Linked DNA regions of Arabidopsis thaliana. The protein of the gene in region 1 interacts with the protein of each later gene in a pairwise test. Each region holds a gene or a part of one and is shown on either strand. Other genes may lie near its edges.

Region 1 (3,757 bases):
CTTAAAAGATAGCTAAAGAAAACGTTACTATGGGCCCTTTTTCTTTCTTTAATTCTTTCATATGGAATCTATTATTAATTAAAGACATGTATTAAAGAATTTCAGGTGTAAAAGAATAGTTTTTTGCTTTGAGGTGTCTATCTTTATTTATAATCGGAAATTTTCAAGTAAAAAGAAATAGACTCTCCAAAGCATAGGTAGAATAATTGAATATTCTTATCAATTAAATCGTCTATAGTAGCCAATTATGATTGCAATCGTTGTGCGAATATAACCAGCATGGTATATATCACAAGTTTTTAGTTAGTGAATTTTTTAGTTATTTCAAGAGCTTGTTCTGTAGAATAAACCAAAAACTAAAAGAAAATCCATTCTATTCAATACCATAACTTCATGTGTTCACGAAACATCATGGGAACACAGTAAATAGAAAAACAAAATCAATTTATAACTATATATGAATGTTGTCAAATGGGAGTTGACCTCCAATATTATCTTTTATACATTTGAAACTTTAATTTTGACTTTTTTTTAGTAAGATAGTTTTTGTTCATGTCCTGAATGTTAGGTAACAGCTAGCGATTTGAAATAGAAATAAACATTTACAAACCATGTAGTGGTCCAAACCATTGACTCAATTAAAGAGTCAACGCATAATCGAATTTGTAATCTGTGAAGAAGAAGACTCGAATGGTATTGAACTTGATTTGATTTGATTCGTTTTGTGAATCGTATCCCGTTAGTCATTGGATTGTGCAGAGAAAACAAATATTGAAGCAACCTCTAATTAAGTCTACAAAGAAATAGGACACCACAACAAAGGTTGACTTTTACAGAATCACAAAGCCAAAACGATAATCTAGAAAGTAGAGAAACTAGACAGCACAAAACGATAAAAGACCGAGTCTGTCGACCATTACCTTAGTTTTTTTTCATATCGTTAAAAAATAATGTGATATACATGTACGTTAATACTTAATATATACTATTTGACTTGAGATAGCCCTACAAAACTTTTATTCATTTATTTCTCACAAGTTCCCTAAAACTTTATGAACCAATTTGAAGATTAATATTTTGTTACGTTGCTATCAATTTCAAATTCTTTGTAGGTGCTATATTTGAAAACTGGTTTCATACCTAAAAAGGTTATGAACCAAAGACTCAACTTGTCTGGTTATAAATAAAAGTGATTGAAAACACTCACACGGCTAGTGAATTCTCATTAGAAAAATGAAAAGTTCGTTAAATTCGACCAGTGATATAAATATATATACGAAAAACATATGATCATTATGCTTTTTGTCAGGTCCTAGAAATAAATATGTGGAACCCAATTCATTTCAACATTCACGGTAATTTAATTTCCCTTGGCAACATTTAGTCATTTACCGGAATATTCAAACTTCGAATGTTAGGAAATATTTAAGAAGGTAATGGTAAAAAGTAAGAAAAAAAGGACTGGGATCAATAAATGAGAAAAATGGAAGTAGTAGTGGGGCTAAAATTTCTCTATCCAAAATAAATGAAACAGGCGCCGACATTAACAACACCATTCCATTTATAACTCTTTATCCAAATTTTTATTTAGCTGAACCCAATTTACTCTTTCTCTTATCTTCCTCTACTTAATTCTTCTAACAAAGCTCTGTTGCAGATGCTTTCTTTAGAAAAAAATTGGGCCAATATTGTTTATTGAAAAGATCAACAACAGACTGGGTTTTGTTTAAGAAAGAATAGTGATTAGAGAACGAGTCGTTGATGTTCTAATTGACTTGCAAGAATGAAAAAAGATACCAAAAAATTCCTCAAAGAGATATTAAAAAGAAAAAACTTTTTAGACACGGAAAAAGAGAGACTTTTCTCAGAGGAAAAAAACAAGAAAAGAGAGAAACCATAGTAAAAAAAAAAAAAAAACTGTCTGTCCAACGATTTGTTTTTGTTTTTTTGTCTCTGTTCTCTCAATTCTTCTTCTTCTTCTTCTACTTCGCCCCCACGACAAGAAATTCTCCTCTCTATTTCTATCTCATTCTTTCTCTCTCTCTCTATAAAATCTTCAACTTCTGGGTTTATTCTTCCACAATCCCTCGAGTTATAATAACTCTCTGCAAAGAGTTTTACTTTGATTCTTCTGTGGAGGATCTTACACAATTTTCATGGCTTCTTGAATCATGTAATCTTTTCCTTCTCGCCATTTTTCATCTCTACCCGGATCCGTAACCAGCTCTCAGACCAGACCCGGGTTATACCATTTCTCCTCCTTAAAAGTCACACCGCGTTGACCTTCTTCCTCTGGTCTCCTCTCCCATTTTCTTTTAAAGAACTTCACAAAGTTTCAATCTTTTACTTTGGTTCCTCTCTCTCTCTCTGTTTATTAGGGTTCTGGGTTCTGTTGATGATGATTCTCTAACTAATGAGGTAGAGTTATAACCCAAAAATAACAAAAGTAGAGTTAAGTCTTTGAAATTTGGTACCAACAATGGCGAGCCAGACGGGTCAGAAAATTCGGTTGGTGAGGTGTCCCAAGTGCTTGAAGATTCTACAGGAAGACGAAGATGTTCCTGTTTATCAGTGCGGTGGTTGTTCCGCCATTCTTCAAGGTAACTTTCTTTCCATTTCGATTTTGCCTCTGATTATAATGTGAACTCTGTCCCTGAATCTGGCTTTGTTCTACTCCTGGTTGTCCATCTGTTTGGATGTCTGAGCTCAAACCAGTTGTGTTTTGTGGCATGATCTCTTTCATTATTAAATTTGGTTGTTGCTTCTTTGATTCAGCGAAAAGGCGGAACATTGCTCCAAGCAGTACACCAAGTGCAGGAGAGACAGAGAGGGCTCAAGCCAATGAGCCGCAAAGCGTACCTGAAACCAACAATGTGTCCAGCAGCTCGGGGCAGGACACGGTTCTGCCGTCATCTCCAGGTCGTTCCGTGGACCAAGAGTATGAGAAAGGTAGGAATGCATCCATGGAGTCTACGGAGAAGGAGCTTGATGACTTAGAGTTATCTAATGGAGATGGGACAAATGAAATTCAAGAGCAGGAATGTTCACTTGGTGATTCTGAGAAGAATGAAAGAGAAGACAACTCCAGATTGGAGTCTCATATGATGAACACCGTAGCAGAAGCTGCAGGATCTGGATCTAGCTCTGGAAGCTTGAGCGTTGATCATGTGGTGGCTGCAAGAGCGAGTAATCCATCCGGTAACTCTGAGATTTCACCGGATGCTTCCCCCGTAGAAGAGAAGCAAAGCCAACTTGACATTCTTGCAAACAAGACTCCTTCTGCTTATGATGTGGTGGCTGCAAGAGCGAGTAATTCATCTGGCAATGCTGAGATCTCACCTGATGCTTCCCCTGTTGAAGAGAAGCAAAGCCAACTTGATTATCCTGCAAACAAGACTTCTTCTGCTTATGATGGGAGTGAGTCTTCCTCTGACGAAAGGGAAGGCCAACTTCTCGATGATGACGAACAATGGAATGCTCTTCAGAAAATAAGATCAGGCAAATTTGAGATGCATAGATACCCTGGGTATAAGGAGCAAGGCGCTAGTTCCTCCTCCCCTTTCTCTGAGAATAGGCGCAATGGGATTACCACATACAACGAGCGGCATCAGAACAGGTCTCTACAGCTAGAGGGACCAGGAGGGCGCCTTGGCAGACAAGGGAGGAGACATGTGACAGAACAACTTCGGCCTGACATGCCTTTCTATCCGAGAGAATCATACACACGTGGAAGCCCTTCCCATCCGTCACATGATGA
Region 2 (3,757 bases), on another chromosome or scaffold:
AGAATAAAGAGGAGAAACGTGAAAGAGAAAAAAAAGAGGCAGTGTTTTATTTTAAGTTGGCAAAGAAAGAAGTGGCAGGCATACGTTATATATGGATTAGGTTAAGGGTTTTTGGATTTTTCATATAAATTTTGATTTAAAATAAACTAAAATTAAAATAAAAAACGTGGAAGGGTATGAATGAACAATTTTATTGAGTTAGTGGCATTAGTGATAAAATTCCGACCAATTATATTCAACTGTATTTATATATAGACTAACCAATCTTTAAACTCTGATGCTTGTAGCAGAAACTTCGCACTCACATGCAGCCCTGCTATCACAAGCGACAACCGGACAAATCATTATTGGGGTTTAATTGTGGTTTCAAAAAAGTAAGGTGAAATTGGAAGAAAATAAAAAAAGTTTAGTCTATAGAAAAAACTATTTAAAGTTCAAACTTATGCATTAAAGTTTAATCAATTATAATAAAATAAATTTAGCAAAAGAAAAAAAAAAGCAAGATCAAAATCTTAGATGAAGATAGTAATAAAATATCAAAGAATTAAATTCGTAGAAAGAAAAGAGAATATGAAAGTTATATTAACTCGTAGAAGAAAAAGAGAATATGAAAATTATATTAAATTTGTAGAAGAAAAAGAGTGGTATCATGCAACCAATCTGCACAATTTGCAATCCGAAAATGGATTTGGTAACAACTTACGACTAGCCTTTTTGACATTTGTAAACGTAGTTAATGCACTTAACTACAATACAACCATTTTAAACTAGAATTTTTTTTTTATGATTACACATATATAGAACTGTTTATCCAATTTAGACATGGTCTACAACGAGCTAGAGTTTTATTAGAAACAATTGTATATGTGATATTGACTATAAGTATATGAGTTAAAGATCGGATTAGTGCCCTACTACTGTATATATAGAACTAGATTTTGACTCGCGGTATACCGCGGGGCTAGGTTTTTAATAAAATTTGTTATATAAAATGTATATGTAAATATTTGTTTTATTAATATTGTTTGCTTTGTTTAGTGTTTAAGATAATGTATATATAGATTTTAGTTGTTATATCTAGGATTTCATCCGTAGTATATCGTTTCGTATTATTATCGATCAAAACTCGTCATACCATCTAATCCTGCACATTGAAATTAAACATATCTAATAGATTTCACTTGTGGTATACCGTCTCGTAATACTATCGACCAAACCCGTCCTACCACTAACCCCGTTCAGTAAAATTAGACATTATTTTGTTATTTTTGTTTTAATAATACTTTAGTTTAAAAAATATTAATTCAAATCAATTTAAAAGTTTTTTTTCAAATGGTTATTTAATTATTATAAAGTTTATATATTATAATATTATAAACACGTCCTACCATCTATTCCTACTATCTAATCATGTTCGGTGAAATTATTTTTCTATTTTTTTAATAATATTTTTATTAAAAGATTTATAATTTAAATCAATTTAAAGTTTTCTTTCAAATGGTTATTTAATTTTTAAATATTTTAACCATTTTGGCAAAAATAATTAGGCCATGAAATAAAAGCATATTCTTTTGAATAAGATTTGCTTTGATTTGGTAGTTAATTTTTGCATTTAATAAGTCAGTGGCAGCCATTGTAAATAAGTTCCAATTGCAGGATTTATTTCATAAAATGACTACAAAAATGTATATATAGATTAGATAGTGTTTAGAGTAATACATATAACAAGTTATATTTTATTAAATACATAAATATATACATAATAATTAAAGTGTGGTATCATGCAACCTATTTAGCGAACTTAGGAACAAAATCCACAATTCGTTATTGTCATGAATTCGTATCTCTCATTTCTAAACTGTTAAGCAATATCCGATAAAATCTAAGAAATATAAGGGGCAAAATGTAAATTATTTCTCAAGCATTAATAAATGAGAGATACGAATTATAGAAAAATTAAAGTTGTTTATAATTAATTAATTAATGATTAAACCATAAACGAAAGGAACCCTCCAAAACTAAACACTCTTCAACACATAGCGTCTTGTCTGCAAAAAAAATCGGAGACGCAAAACCAACTTGCCGCCGAATCTTCCTTAAACCCTCAACGCTGCTCTTCGCCGCCGTTGAGACGATCACAGTGATCGAATCTTCCTTTTCAACTTTCTCGTCTTTTGATCAAACGAGTTTGGTTGAGTTTTTGATAAACGTGATTAAGCGATTAATTTCGCGTTTTAACAACAATCTAGATTGTCCTTTGGAGATTGAACAAATTTAGGGTTTTTGGGGATAATCTAAGTGTTTATGATTTGAAACTTTGTGTGTTTTGAGATTGTTTTGGGCAATGTTGGATTTTCGAGACGGTTTGGTGGCGGCAGAGTTAGTGAGTGTTGGGGTTTAGGAAGTAGTAGTAGTTATTAGGGTTTGGAATTGGGTTATGTTTAGGGTTTTACTAGTTTAGAAGATGGGAGAGGATTATGAGCTTGAAGAAGGAGAGATGAATTGTTCTTCTGATGAAGCTGTTGTTGATCTTGACGTTGATCTCTCTTACATTGTGAGTCTCTCTTGTTTGTGATTTTTTTTCTCATTATTAAATGATCTTTTTTGTGTGGTGTTATGTGAAGCCGTTGTTGATCTTTGTGTGATGCTTAATTTCTGATTATGTTTTGGAAGTGTTAAGATCATATGAATAGTACAGTACTCTGTGTTTATAATGCCAATGATGATTAAGTTTTGTGCATCTTAGTTTAGTTGGAGGAGATATACCTTTAATAAGATATTTCAATTGCTATGAATCTTGCTTGTTTCTACTGAGTTTTGAGTTTTAAACAGAGAACTATGTGTCTGTCTTTTGTAGCATATGAAATCTCAATTTTATGTATCTCAATAAAGAATATATAGTGTGGATACTCATTTTTTCTCTGTTTTTGTATCTTTGTGTGTCGAAGTCTTTTTCTTTGCCTGGTGGTTTTATTATATATGTGCTCAAGTTTTGTTGCTTTGTGTATCTAAGGACAAGAAGGTACAGAATGTACTTGGCCACTTGCAAAAAGGTTTCGGAGAGGAAGCCCGGGACCGGTTTGGTAAGTAATATTAAATTGGTGTTAGTGAGATATTTGTTTTGAAATGAAATGTCGTTGTTGAATGATATGGTTGGTCAGGTCCGGAGATCTTTGACTATGGATCATTTTTGCCCACTTACAAACGTTTGCCGGCTGTACCATCATGTCAAAGGAGTTCTCTAGGGAATCATGCTGTACAAAGAATTTCCAACAGTTTACCCGGGAAGGTATGAGAGAAACAATTCTCAATTCCATGTGAGGATAAAAGGAAAATATGGTAGTGAAACTACCTTGTTGTTTTTGTTTGAAGGAATCTGGACCTTTTAGTGATTTTTCTTCCTCAGTGTTTTAAGTAGTTTAATTATGAGTACTTATGAATTATTGTTTGCGCAGAATGTGGTTCAGAAGTTTCAGTCACCCCCTGCTACATCTTGTAAACTAGTAAGAAATCAGGATCCTCAGAACTATCAAACTTCAGGATCTCTTTTGGCTCAAGCTCCAGGAAAAGTTCCCATAAATAAAGGAAATGCAAGAACACCAGCCAATGATTTGCCTCATAATAAGCCGATCAGAGTTCGGATCAAAATGGGTTCTGAAATCTTGTCCCAAAGTGTCGCGATGGTTTGCAAGGATCTTGGTCTCGATGGTTCTCCAAATTCACCACCCCGAATCAGCCAGGATGATAGTAGCAGAAT

What was found.
Region 2: the proteins of AT5G05190 (region 1) and AT4G15730 interact in a two-hybrid assay, tested with the Arabidopsis thaliana proteins (one large-scale study listed by BioGRID).

The regions. Positions count from the first base shown.
Region 1 is NC_003076.8:1,539,374-1,543,130, forward strand, and holds the start of AT5G05190 (hypothetical protein (DUF3133)), read left to right. Parts: upstream 1-1,844; 5' UTR 1,845-2,479; coding exon 2,480-2,600; intron 2,601-2,775; coding exon 2,776-3,757. UniProt on the Arabidopsis thaliana protein: Plays a negative role in salicylic acid (SA)-mediated resistance to powdery mildew (e.g. Golovinomyces cichoracearum). May modulate plant immunity by regulating the relocation of EDR1 by interacting with CHC2 and modulating endocytosis.
Region 2 is NC_003075.7:8,955,922-8,959,678, reverse strand, and holds the start of AT4G15730 (CW-type Zinc Finger), read left to right. Parts: upstream 1-2,013; 5' UTR 2,014-2,464; coding exon 2,465-2,554; intron 2,555-3,013; coding exon 3,014-3,083; intron 3,084-3,161; coding exon 3,162-3,289; intron 3,290-3,455; coding exon 3,456-3,757.